Saccharomyces cerevisiae S288C: one gene and its partner. Each later gene encodes a partner of the first gene's protein in a complex. Each region holds a gene or a part of one and is shown on either strand. Other genes may lie near its edges.

Evidence for each region. The genes of interacting proteins can lie anywhere in the genome.
Region 2: NUP159 (region 1) and NUP57 share a complex: the UniProt entries of both Saccharomyces cerevisiae proteins name them as parts of the nuclear pore complex.

The regions. Positions count from the first base shown.
Region 1 is NC_001141.2:141,560-152,252, reverse strand, and holds NUP159 (FG-nucleoporin NUP159), read left to right. Parts: upstream 1-3,543; coding exon 3,544-7,926; downstream 7,927-10,693. Other genes in the region: HOS4 (Hos4p), read right to left, coding at 1-658; mitogen-activated protein kinase tyrosine protein phosphatase SDP1, read right to left, coding at 1,065-1,694; putative porin POR2, read left to right, coding at 2,265-3,110; HIS5 (histidinol-phosphate transaminase), read right to left, coding at 8,168-9,325; pheromone-regulated protein PRM5, read left to right, coding at 10,684-10,693. UniProt on the Saccharomyces cerevisiae protein: Functions as a component of the nuclear pore complex (NPC).
Region 2 is NC_001139.9:727,546-731,450, forward strand, and holds NUP57 (FG-nucleoporin NUP57), read right to left. Parts: upstream 2,127-3,905; coding exon 501-2,126; downstream 1-500. Other genes in the region: 40S ribosomal protein uS12 RPS23A, read left to right, coding at 1-185; Golgi transport complex subunit COG2, read right to left, coding at 2,488-3,276; ammonium permease MEP1, read right to left, coding at 3,904-3,905. UniProt on the Saccharomyces cerevisiae protein: Functions as a component of the nuclear pore complex (NPC).

The DNA.
Region 1 (10,693 bases):
CCGTGGGATCATCGCTTCCCACATCGTCTGTGTCCTTATCTGAGTCGCTATACTCTATATCTTTTTCCACATTTTCTGGTTCTGTTGTATTTTTTTCAAGTACCTCATCACTTAAATCCTCTTCTTCAACAGCTCCCAAACCCTCTTCTTCTATGAAATCATCAACAGTTTTCCTTTTTGGTTCTTTCAACATCGCTCGAAGTTGGTCTCTCGAAAAAGGTTGATGGTTTTGGATATCAACATTACGTACATTGGGTGATGATGATGATGACGAAATTTTCGCTCGTATTGCTTGGCTTATTTTTTCATTCGTTTCAGGAACATCGTCCGGACGGCTGTCCCCATTAACCTCTCCTTCGTGTGAACTCGCATCATTCTTATGGGCCAGGTCTTCGGATTCCTTTGCATTCAGGTTATTTTGGGTGGCTTGATGAACGCTTGTAGTCTGTGAGCGAAACGATGCAACATTTTCTGGAAACTTATCACTTACTTCTTCCGACAGTGTTTCCCTTTGTTCATGCTTGCCGGCAGTATCTTCCTCTTCGGATGTTTCTTGTTTAGAAATCTTTTCCAGCTCCTCCCGTCTCGTGCTCACGTTTGAAAGATAGCTGCTCAGGGACCTTTTCTTTAGCGGCTGTTTTGTAGTAGTCTCATTCATATTGTCATGAATCTCTACAGCAATTCTTCTCTGTCACATATAATAATATCCTTTGTTGCTTTGTGTAACTTACTACATAGTTTTCTCAATATACACATTGATTTAGCATCACAAGAAAACTTGTTACCCGGAATAAACTAGTATGAACCGTACAGTAAATGCGCAAATTATATTGAGAACTTCGTACAAGAACCCTACCAAATCCAAACCTTGTTCTTCTAAGGACGAGTCACTTCCTGAGCCTTGATTTGGAAAAGGCTCTCAATAAGAGAAACTAAAAGCTCAGAACAGAGCATGAAACAAAGCGAAGAAATACGGAATTATTTATAAAGTACAGAAGAAAAAAAGAGCATCGTGCCCCTCAATAAAGCCTCATTGAATGCTATATCTTTTTTTTTTTTCTCTCTCACGGTACTTTTCTATAACTGTTGGCTTGCACGTTAGTCTTCGCGTTAAGAGCAACCTCCCATTCCATCAACTGGAAAATAAGCCCTATGGAAGGGTTTATCTTGTCTGCCCTTGATTTCAACAGATCATATGAGTGCCTCAGACTCAAGTTATGATATTTCATTATATATGCAATAATCAGCGTTGCGGATCTCGACAGCCCACATTGGCAATGTATCAGTATCTTCTCTCGCTTAGTCGTAGCTGCGTGTATGATGCTAGTCAATGATGGCAAGTCCAACGCAATCTGCGAATCATGTTCCCATCGGTAGTGATGGTACTCGACAGCAGGAACCTGCATTCGTAAATCGTTTGCCTCTTCAGCAACGTTGATGACCACATCAAAGGGTAAAAGCTCTTTTACCGTGGGCTCTGAATAAAGGTAGATCTTTTCCGGGAGAACAAGTAATGGGCCTTTTGGGTAGATTCTGCGCACGTCCAAACTCGAACAAGGCACGAATTCACGGTCTTCATTCGGGCTTTCTTTGTCCGTAGACCTCTCATCTGTGGCCAGCATAGGAAGAGATGGTCTTTGGCCACTCTTTGGTGCGATGTTCGGTGTTCGCGTGGGTGATGTGTATATGTTCATGCGAGATTATGGCTACAAGTGCGCAGCCGTATGTGTTATTTTAGATAATAGATTATCTTCAACTTTGTTGCTGATCTTGTCTTACTCGTTCTTTTATATCACCCAGTATACCATAAAGGGGATAAGAACTGATTAAAGTTATTCGCTGCGGCAACCTAATTAGGAAGTTGCCTGTTCCAGAAGGGGAGTTGCCAAGGCCGCGCCGTACGACGCAAAAACCCTTTTCTATCTGGAAGATATCTCCTATTCCAATAGTGTGCGCCCTGCCTAGCAAATGAGACGAATAACGGATTCCGCAGAAATGACACACTGCAAAATCTGTTCGTAGTTTTCAGCATTTAAAAGTTTAGTTCTTTTTCTATGCTGCGACTGAGCTTCTGCATTTTTTAACCAAATACTAATTTGTCTTACATGATTGAAAGCGCCTTTAGCAATTCCTTTCCTTTTTTCTCGCTTCCAATTGCAGAAATGGAACAAAAAGAAAAGAAAGAATAGTGAAGATGGAGCTCTTCTGTTTTATTCTCGAGTGAAGGAATTGCATGAAGAGGAAAGTGTTAGAAATTACCTACGATGGCACTACGATTTTTCAACGATATATCTAGAGATGTCAATGGCCTATTCAATAGGGACTTTTTTCACACCAACCCCCTCTCTTTGAATATTTCAACAACCACGGAAAATGGTGTGAATTTTACTCTGAAGGCGAAGCAGGGCGTGACAGAAGGCCCCATCCAAACTAGCGTAGAAGGACGGTTTTATGACAGGAAGGAGGGAGTGTCGCTATCTCAGAGTTGGTCGAACCAGAACAGGTTAAATACAAGAATCGAATTTTCCAAGATAGCACCTGGTTGGAAAGGTGATGTCAACGCATTTTTGACTCCCCAATCCATCAAGAACGCCAAATTTAATTTGAGCTACGCCCAAAAATCGTTTGCAGCAAGAACTTCTATAGACATCTTGCAACCTAAGGACTTTGTCGGAAGTGTTACTTTGGGCCACCGCGGGTTTGTTGGCGGCACTGACATCGCATATGACACAGCTGCGGGTTTATGTGCACGCTATGCTATGTCAATCGGGTATCTTGCCAGAGAATATTCGTTTATTTTGTCTACTAACAACAGGCAATGCGCAACTGCTTCATTTTTTCAAAACGTTAACCGCTATTTGCAAGTGGGAACTAAAGCCACTTTACAATCGAAGACAAGTTCTAATATGAACATTGAATTTGTTACCAGATACGTACCAGATTCTATTTCGCAAGTTAAGGCAAAAATTGCAGATTCAGGCCTGACTACATTGTCGTACAAGCGAAATTTGAATAAAGATATTTCTTTGGGTGTGGGTATGTCTTTCAATGCGCTACAACTGACTGAACCAGTCCACAAATTTGGCTGGTCTCTATCGTTCTCGCCCTGAGAGATTTTATTTTCTTATAAATTTTACTAAATAAGGATTTGTACTTTTGATAGAGTTTTTTTTTTTTCTGACGTTTGTTTAGTTAATATTATATAATAGTATTTAGGAAACTAGGTGGGAGGGGACATCGCAACTTTTATCGTGACCTACGACCAGTGTTTTTTCAATTGTTTGATCAAAAGAGAAAAAAAGACAAAGGACCGAAGGATAGTTGCACGCATAAACTGGAGAAAAAATTGTGTTTGACATCGGCGTTTAGGCTTGTTTGTTCTGTCACACATACGCTGCTTCACACCAATTCATATTTCTCAGGTTAATTTGTCTCCTCTCCAACTTCAATAACGATTTTGCGTGAAGGTTTAATTTCATTATTGCAATTTTAGCAGAGAAACGCACATAAATATATATATATTGATTACAGAACCATTATAACATGTCTTCTTTGAAGGATGAAGTACCCACTGAGACTTCCGAAGACTTCGGTTTTAAGTTTTTAGGTCAAAAACAAATTCTACCTTCCTTCAATGAAAAACTGCCATTTGCATCTCTACAAAATCTCGATATTTCAAACAGTAAGTCTTTATTCGTTGCTGCCTCTGGTAGTAAGGCGGTGGTCGGCGAATTACAATTACTGAGAGATCATATCACCTCCGACTCTACTCCGTTAACGTTCAAGTGGGAGAAAGAAATCCCAGATGTAATATTTGTGTGCTTTCATGGTGATCAGGTTTTGGTTTCAACCAGAAATGCATTATATTCGTTAGACTTGGAGGAATTGAGTGAATTTCGAACGGTCACTTCTTTTGAGAAGCCAGTTTTCCAATTGAAGAACGTTAATAACACTTTAGTAATTTTAAATTCAGTCAATGATTTATCAGCACTGGATTTAAGAACAAAATCGACTAAGCAACTGGCACAAAACGTTACCTCTTTTGATGTCACAAATTCGCAGTTAGCAGTTCTACTAAAAGATAGAAGTTTTCAAAGTTTTGCATGGCGAAATGGCGAAATGGAAAAACAATTTGAGTTCTCTCTACCGTCAGAATTAGAAGAGCTTCCAGTAGAAGAATATTCCCCTTTGAGTGTTACCATTCTCTCTCCACAGGATTTTTTGGCGGTTTTCGGTAATGTTATATCAGAGACCGATGACGAAGTTTCATACGATCAAAAAATGTACATTATAAAGCACATAGACGGCAGCGCCTCATTTCAAGAAACTTTTGATATTACACCTCCATTCGGGCAAATAGTAAGGTTCCCATATATGTACAAAGTTACCTTGTCTGGTTTAATTGAACCTGATGCAAACGTAAATGTGCTAGCATCATCATGTTCAAGTGAAGTAAGTATATGGGACTCGAAACAAGTTATTGAACCTTCCCAGGATTCTGAACGAGCAGTATTGCCCATCAGTGAGGAAACAGATAAGGACACAAATCCAATAGGTGTGGCAGTTGACGTCGTTACTTCAGGCACTATTCTAGAACCTTGTTCCGGTGTTGATACGATAGAGCGATTGCCGCTCGTTTACATATTGAATAACGAAGGTAGCTTACAGATAGTCGGGTTGTTTCATGTGGCAGCAATCAAAAGCGGCCATTATAGCATAAATCTGGAATCTTTAGAACATGAGAAATCTCTCTCTCCTACATCAGAAAAAATTCCTATTGCTGGACAGGAGCAGGAAGAAAAAAAGAAAAATAATGAATCAAGTAAGGCTTTATCAGAGAATCCTTTCACATCAGCAAATACATCAGGCTTCACTTTTCTTAAAACACAACCAGCCGCTGCCAATAGCCTGCAGTCTCAAAGTTCTTCAACCTTTGGTGCTCCCTCATTTGGATCATCCGCATTTAAAATTGACTTGCCATCAGTCTCATCTACCAGTACTGGTGTAGCGTCCAGTGAACAAGACGCAACAGATCCTGCTTCTGCTAAGCCAGTATTCGGCAAACCCGCGTTCGGAGCTATTGCCAAAGAACCGTCAACATCAGAATATGCCTTTGGCAAGCCATCTTTTGGTGCTCCCTCCTTTGGCTCTGGAAAGTCATCTGTTGAATCGCCTGCCTCCGGATCTGCCTTTGGTAAGCCCTCTTTTGGTACTCCTTCCTTTGGCTCTGGAAATTCATCTGTTGAGCCGCCTGCCTCCGGATCTGCATTTGGTAAGCCCTCTTTTGGTACTCCTTCCTTTGGCTCTGGAAATTCATCTGCTGAGCCGCCTGCTTCCGGATCTGCCTTTGGTAAGCCCTCTTTTGGTACATCTGCATTCGGAACTGCATCAAGTAACGAAACTAACTCTGGATCCATATTTGGAAAGGCTGCATTTGGTTCATCATCTTTTGCACCCGCCAACAATGAACTTTTCGGATCAAACTTTACTATTTCAAAACCTACAGTTGACAGCCCAAAGGAGGTAGATTCAACGTCACCTTTCCCATCTTCTGGCGATCAAAGTGAAGATGAGTCTAAGAGTGATGTAGACTCTTCTTCGACACCTTTTGGTACGAAACCTAACACCTCTACGAAACCAAAGACCAATGCCTTTGATTTTGGGAGTTCTTCCTTTGGATCTGGATTTTCAAAGGCTCTGGAATCTGTTGGTTCCGATACAACTTTTAAATTCGGTACTCAGGCTTCACCTTTCTCTTCACAGTTAGGAAACAAATCACCATTCAGTTCCTTCACAAAAGATGATACTGAAAATGGATCTTTAAGTAAGGGCTCTACCAGTGAAATCAATGACGATAATGAAGAACACGAAAGCAATGGTCCCAACGTAAGCGGTAATGATTTGACAGATTCTACGGTTGAGCAAACATCTTCTACTAGATTACCGGAAACTCCCTCGGATGAAGATGGTGAAGTTGTCGAGGAGGAAGCGCAAAAATCCCCCATAGGCAAGCTAACTGAAACTATAAAAAAAAGTGCCAATATTGACATGGCTGGTTTAAAAAATCCTGTATTTGGAAATCATGTCAAAGCAAAATCCGAATCGCCGTTTTCAGCATTTGCAACAAATATTACCAAACCAAGCTCTACAACACCTGCTTTTTCGTTTGGTAACTCCACAATGAATAAAAGTAATACATCTACGGTTTCACCAATGGAAGAAGCTGATACTAAAGAAACTAGTGAAAAGGGCCCCATAACCTTGAAGAGTGTGGAGAATCCGTTTCTACCAGCGAAAGAAGAAAGAACTGGAGAAAGTTCTAAAAAGGATCATAACGATGACCCAAAAGATGGTTATGTATCAGGAAGTGAAATATCTGTAAGGACTTCTGAAAGTGCTTTTGATACCACAGCAAACGAAGAAATTCCAAAGTCACAGGACGTGAACAATCATGAAAAAAGCGAAACAGACCCAAAATATAGTCAACATGCTGTGGTTGATCACGATAACAAGTCTAAAGAAATGAATGAAACTTCGAAGAATAATGAAAGGAGCGGTCAACCAAATCATGGTGTCCAAGGAGATGGAATAGCATTGAAAAAAGACAATGAAAAAGAGAATTTTGATTCAAATATGGCAATAAAGCAATTCGAAGACCACCAATCTTCAGAAGAGGACGCGAGCGAAAAAGACAGTAGACAAAGCAGTGAAGTTAAAGAATCAGATGATAACATGTCACTCAACAGTGACCGGGATGAAAGTATATCTGAGTCCTACGATAAACTGGAAGATATTAATACTGATGAGCTACCTCATGGTGGAGAAGCTTTTAAAGCACGTGAAGTGAGCGCTTCCGCTGATTTTGATGTACAAACTTCATTAGAAGACAATTATGCTGAATCTGGCATACAGACAGACCTTTCAGAAAGTTCCAAGGAAAATGAAGTTCAAACGGATGCCATACCCGTGAAACACAACAGTACACAAACTGTTAAGAAGGAAGCAGTCGACAATGGTCTGCAAACTGAGCCTGTTGAAACATGTAATTTTTCTGTTCAAACATTTGAAGGTGACGAAAATTATTTAGCAGAGCAATGCAAACCAAAGCAATTGAAAGAATATTACACAAGTGCAAAAGTATCAAATATTCCTTTCGTTTCACAAAATTCTACGTTAAGGTTGATTGAGAGTACATTTCAGACGGTCGAAGCTGAGTTTACTGTTCTGATGGAAAACATCCGGAATATGGATACTTTTTTTACTGATCAATCGAGCATCCCTTTGGTGAAGCGTACAGTGCGGTCTATCAATAATCTGTATACTTGGAGAATACCAGAGGCTGAAATTCTATTAAATATTCAGAATAATATCAAGTGTGAACAAATGCAAATAACAAATGCTAACATTCAAGACCTGAAGGAAAAAGTTACAGATTATGTCAGGAAAGATATTGCACAAATAACTGAAGATGTAGCCAATGCAAAAGAGGAGTATCTGTTTTTAATGCATTTTGATGATGCTTCGAGTGGATACGTTAAAGATCTCAGCACGCATCAATTTAGAATGCAAAAGACATTACGTCAAAAGCTATTCGATGTGTCCGCCAAAATTAATCATACTGAAGAGTTGCTGAACATTTTAAAATTGTTCACTGTAAAGAATAAGAGATTGGACGATAATCCATTAGTGGCAAAACTAGCTAAAGAATCTCTTGCACGTGACGGTTTACTAAAAGAAATCAAATTATTGCGTGAGCAAGTGAGTAGGTTACAATTGGAGGAGAAAGGTAAAAAGGCTTCGTCGTTCGATGCATCCTCTTCAATAACAAAGGACATGAAAGGATTTAAAGTAGTAGAAGTTGGGTTGGCCATGAATACGAAAAAGCAAATTGGTGATTTCTTCAAAAATTTGAACATGGCAAAATAGTGATATTTAGCTATATGTACGTTGTTAGTGCCGTTAATAATAAATTCATCCTCTATCATAGAAACAGGGCATGAGAAACGAAGAAAAATTGATATTGTAACAATATCATGAGACCTTTTATAGAAGTGGCGCCAAAACTAAATGTATTTGAAAATACAAAAAACGCACAGGTTTCTTTATATATGTATATATATATATATATATATATAAAACTGTACATATACTGTTTAAATTAATCTATTTATTCATTGGCCAGCTTATATAACGTCTCCTTGAAGTACTTTATCAAATGTGTGTTCTCCTCATGGGTTCCAACGGTAATTCTCAAACATCCGGAACAGCCTAATTCGTTACCTCTAAATCTGACGACAACCCCAGATTGAGTAGCCAATTGGTAATATAACTTCTTTGCCAAGACATTGTCACCCCCGTTGATCCGTATTAAAAGAAAATTAGCATCTAATCCACCAACATATTGGTCATCAACGTAATCCAAAGCAGTTAATTCCTTTAAGAGGCGCATTTTCTCTTCATTGATTATTTTCGAAGTGGCTTCCATCTTCTTTAGATTACTGTCTTGAACAGCTTTTAGTGCATATTCAGAGGCTAGGGAGGAAATATTATAAGGCGCCTTCATTGCATTTAAAATTCTGGCCAACTCTGCTGTTGCATATGTCATACCCAACCTAATCCCGGCTAAACCGAATGACTTGGATAGAGTTTGCAAAGTAACCAAGTTAGGATACTTGGTGACTAGTGGAGCTGTAGAGCCACCACAAAAATCTACGTAAGCTTCATCAACAACGACTAACCCATTGTCCCAATTCTGTAAGACCTTTTCGATTAAACTGGTCTTAATTTTGGCTCCGGTTGGATTACCTGGTGAAGTAACGAACATCAACTTAATTAGCGAGTCGTTTTTCAAAATGGTTAATACAGCTTCGGTATCCATTTGAAAAGAACCGTCGGAAACAGTTAAAGGACATTGGACGACTTCTATATCATTAATGTTTGCACAAACAGAGTACATAGAATATGTTGGTGGAAGAACCAGAATCTTTTCTTTCCCGGGAACACAGCATGCTCTAATAATAGCATCAATACTCTCATCAGATCCCACACCTAGGCACAGATTGTCAGCAGTTAAAGGTTTTACCTCTGGGTCATTGGCATAACTGCTTGTTTTGTTCCTGTATTTCGTCATTGCGGTCTTGAATTCCAATTGGTGAGGATCCGGGTAACGATGTAAATTGGTCTTGCTCAATTCAACTGGAGTAGGTCCATGGGCATTTTCATTGGCGTCTAGCAATATACCCTCGGTGAAATCATCTCTTGCACAGCGATAAGGTTCCAAGTTATAAATTTTTGGTCTAACAATTCTTTTCAAATCAAAAACCATAGTGTAATTTTAATATATACGGCACACACGTACTGCTGGTTTAGCAGGAAACAAATTAAGAGTAATCAATGGAAAAACTGTTTTTACATATTGGAGGGTATATTGAACAGAACTGTGTGCATCCTTTTCAAGTTATATAACGTGAGAGATAAAATATCAAGTATGTCATGTCAGGGTAAGAAACATCAATTGAAGTGAGTCAACAGATCCAAGAAAAAAAAGCACTAACTACGTCACTATACCATGAACTATTGAAAATTGGTAGTTTAGTCATCTCAGATTCCATTCATTGGAAAAAACAATTGACTCCTAACAATTAACTTCGGATTAGTCATTAATTATTTCAATGCTTGACTCCTTTTTTGAATAGTCTCACCCGGATCGTAGTCACATGATCAAATAAATTATTGCATTACCAATGGCTTCTGTATTAGTTACTGTCCAGGAAAGGTCTCAATATAACCGGTCACCTTATTTATGATAACAATTTTTAACCATTTACCCTTTATTTTTGCAAAGTTATGACCTTTGGAATGCGGCAGAAAAAAAAAAAATTGATGAAGTAGTCATCAAACAGGTTTCGGCGAAAGACAGTACAAGAATTGCCAGCTAAAGCTTTTCTAATATGTTATTCCATCAAATATTCACGCTATTAATGCTATCTGATCGATTACTTGGTAAAAATAACCAAATGAGTATTGGGTCATATTTTGGAGAAGCGAAAAGTGCACGGCATACTTAAAGAAGAGAAAAAAATTCTTAATCAAAGCTTAAGCGGCATCGCATAACTCTGACAAAAGTATAATCATAGTATGTGGTTTGAGTAAACAACAAGACTGGCAGGTAAGTTTTTTAAATGAATTTTCTTAGCAGGGTTATTGCGGCGCACGTCTATAGGTGATTTACCTTTGTTCCTGAATATACATGATATTCTTAATGCGACAGCGCCCAGGGAAGCAAAGAACGCCGACGAAAGAGCGGCGGAGCAAAAGGCGCAAAGTGACACCTTCCGATCCTGGGAAGTGATCGGTTTCGCTGTTCGGGCTTTTCTTAGACAAATAAAGTTTAATTTTCTTGCTTTCTCTTTTTGGCTAAGAATTCTATATTGTTCTTGAAACAACTTTGTCACACGTTCTAAAAATAAAATGGAAAATGGAAAATGAAAAATTAGAGAGAAAATGTATTACTGAAGAATGTGGTAAAGACATTTGAAAAATATTTAATATATTACCTGAGATCATTCAAAGGAACGCATCGGTGCAAAGAAACAGTTATAGCATTAGAGTTAAGTCAAGAGCACTCATTATTACTTTAAAAGGTCGTTGAAAATAGAATAAATTGACACTCAAAACGCAAGAATGACAGTAA
Region 2 (3,905 bases), on another chromosome or scaffold:
CTTTCGTTCCAAACGATGGTTGTTTGAACTTTGTCGACGAAAATGATGAAGTCTTGCTAGCAGGTTTCGGTAGAAAGGGTAAAGCTAAGGGTGATATTCCAGGTGTTAGATTCAAGGTCGTTAAGGTCTCTGGTGTCTCCTTGTTGGCTTTGTGGAAAGAAAAGAAGGAAAAGCCAAGATCATAAGCACGAAAGTTATCCTCTCGAGGACTACATTGTTTTTGTACCTTAATGTATCTCTTTATTCTTCCAGAAAGTTCCTTCTAATTTCTTATTAGGAATGGGAGAGAATCACATCAATATTTTCTCTTTAATAGAATGTATAATTCAATAGAAAAAAACAACATAATTTGCACTTTATTTTGATGCTGAGAAAAGTTTTATAGTGAATGTCTGCTTCCCTTGGGTTGAAGTTCTGTTCATATACTAAGTTGGTTAATAATGCTATATATGTAATAGATCGATCTTTATACAATTCAGTCATTGATTTAAGTAACCTGATTACGTTTTATTTTTATATTTTTTTACAATTGCAGCATCTTTCTCTAAAACCTCATTTAAATATGTTATACCGCGTTGTTGATTCGTCAGAATTTCCACTATCTTATTAATACGATCATTAGATTCTTCACCGGTGCCTTTGGACATGCTGTCTTGGTTTTTTGTATCGTCGTTGAAAACCATTAATTTACTATCTAATTGACTAGAAATGTTTTTAGCACGTTCTTTTAAGATAGCCAAACGTGCCCAAAGTTCGTTAGTCTTACCTAAACCTGCAGGATCTTCGCTCCGCTGTAGTAAAGTTTGGAATTGCGACCACATTTTCTCTTCTGCAATACCCAATGGCAGTCCTCTATTTTTCAGGGTTGCCAATTGTGTGCCCAATTTTAAGATTCTTTTTTCAATTTCAACATTCCTTGATTGTGCCTTCAAAATTCTGGACGCAGTGTCCAATTCATGCTTTTGTTGCAATTGTGTGGATTTCTCTAAAATATGGTTCAAAATTATTCTAGCTTGGGCTACATTTTCAGTCTGTACTTGATTACGTTGATTCAAACCCTCAAATCCATATATTTGAATGGGAATTGTCTGAGGGGAAGGTTTCTTTTCCATTGCCTGATCCCACTCTTCTTGAAGTACATGTCCTGGTTTTGTATATAAAATGGCTTCCGTTTCGTTCACTTTATTGTACACGAAAGCCCTGAGTTTTGTTTTCGTTGTGTTTGGATCCCACGATTCTTTACATTTCAACACCTGTTCTTGAATTTGCTGCGGATAATTAGACAGCTGCTGTTGTTGAGCAATTGCTTGCGTTTGTTGCAACGGTACTTGAATTTGCTGCTGCTGCTGCTGCTGTAAATTAGATCCAGTTGAAGGCTTAGACCAAGCAAATGATGGTTGTGTGGATACCGTGTTTCCAAGTCCGGGCGCAGTGTTTGTTTGAGGCTGCTGGGATTGGCCAAAAAGGCCACCTCCCCCAAGGGTATTGTTATTCTGGGTGCCGCTTCCAAACAGGCCACCATTAGTTGTTGATCCTTGTGGCTTACTGCCAAATAGGCCTCCCGTAGTCGCTGTAGTATTCTGAGGCTTTGCACCAAAAAGTCCGCCTGCATTCATGTTAGATGTGTTTTGAGTGCTATTGCCGCCCATCAGTGAGCCAGTGGATCCTACTTTATTACCAAATAAACCCCCACTTGTGGTACTATTGTTTTGTGCACTGTTGCCGAAAAGACCTCCCGTTGTGGTAGTTGGCTTGTTTCCAAATAACCCACCTCCAATGGTGGATTGTTGAGGTTGTGCTGTTTGTTGCCCAAATAAACCTGTTCCAGTAGCTGTAGTTCCTGAAGCGGTAGTGCTTGAACTTCCTAGGCTGCCAAGAGCAGGCTTATTACCGAAAAGGCCTCCACCTGTACTACTTTGTTGGTTACTTCCAAAAGTATTTGTGGCCTGATTTGCACCAAACCCTCCGGTAGTAGCCGTCCCAGAATTTGGCTGGCTGCCCCCAAAACCAAATCCTGAAGCCGAAGGTTGAGTATTTGTATTGTTATTGTTTTGTCCAAATGAAAAACCGGTCGAACCAGCTGGTTTATTTCCGAACCCGTTATTACTACCGCTGAAACCAAACATGTGATCAATTGGTCAACAAGGTATGTCTTTTGTTACTAACGAGCGTTTCTGGAATAGTTTGAACGGGATAATCCTCGATTTAGTCTTTCAGTCCCTTTGGCAAAAAGTTGTTTACATCGACTTGGAGAGTTGGACTTTTGCTTTTACTCATTTCAAGAAACAAAATTTTTGAAAATAATCCATTTCGCGTACGTTCAAAATGATATAATTACACATTGGCAACAATTATTTAGATTATATCACGTAGCTATTGTACTATTTTCCTATGAGAGAACTGCTGTAGCCATGTGGGATGATCATGCGGGCAAAACTAAAATACTTATATCAGTCCACAATTGAAGTATGGAAAGTTTTCTCCCAACTATGCCGTTTTTATAATGGAGACTAATGTCAAAGATAGGTTTTGCAGGCTTGATGGGTTTTCAAGACACTTTTCGGTCAAGATTTTCAGTGAGATTTGAAATTCTTGCAGAAGGTCTTGATAGTCATTGCGCAGATGATGAATATATGGTGAATTGGAATCAGCACAAGACTCCAATATTCGACGAGATGCCGTAATCAACTTATACAACTGCTCAATCAGGCCAGAGCAAATTTCTTCTTCTAATGGTTCTATACCGCACATTTCATGGAGAGATTTACTCAATCTCTTTCCAAGTGAGAGCGCTTCTGTCAATTGTGAATGGTTACGCAGAGAGCCGTAAATCTCATCTAACTTCTTTAGGTATTCCAGGACATCCTTTATAATTTCTTGTGTATTGCTGATGTCATCCTTTATCAAATGATCTAATTGAGTCATAAATTTTTGAAGATCACTTTGTGTTTTCTCTAAATTTATTAGAGTTTCATTTTCTTCATCTGTATAGGTATTGGAAAAAGTCAGATAGTCGTCGTAGTTACTTCTTATTTGTTCTAATAATGTTTGTACCATTTTTTGTGAAAGTCCAGACAAATCTCTAATAAGGGAATCGAGAGGAAGGTAATGGAAATTTTTCTGCACTAGGAATCTGTCGACATCAAAGTTATCAACATCGGTCCCATTAGTCTCGGATTCACGATACTTCTCTATTTCTGTTGCGAATAACTCTTTCGATATTTCTGCGGTTACCGGTAAATCTAAGTCTAGTTCATCATCATTCAAAAAGTCCATTTCGCCCTGAGAGAAATTGCGACTATGACTGTTGACCATTCCCTTTTCATATTATTTATTATTCTATATTTTTTCTAAGCTTCATTTTCTTGTCCTGTTGAAAATTCCATGAAATCGAGGTAAAGGCCCGAGCAATAATAATTTTAATTTAAATAAGGCACCCTCATAAAAACGGTCTTACATCCCATTATACCTAAATACGTATTTTTTGGATCTAGAGTGTTAACTATTTCACGATTACCGGTTGGTGTACTCAAATAATTAAAATGTTGAGGACTAAGAGAGCCTATATTTTCTCGAGAACATAGTCAAAAAGACTCCATGGCCAAGTTGGTTAAGGCGTGCGACTGTTAATCGCAAGATCGTGAGTTCAACCCTCACTGGGGTCGTTTTTTGCTTGAAATGAGCAACATTGGAGGAAGATTTGTGAAATCCTCCAGTTTTCTTTTTTTCCTCTAGGTTTTAACGAATGTGATAAAAGATAACTAAATAGGAGGGTCATTAAAATGCTAGGTAACGTATAAACAATGCACATCTATACATATATGAAGGTTTGAATAAGGAATAAATAACACGTGCTCATAAAAAATCAAGAGAGCCAAGCTGGAAACAAAATCAATAAACCGTTT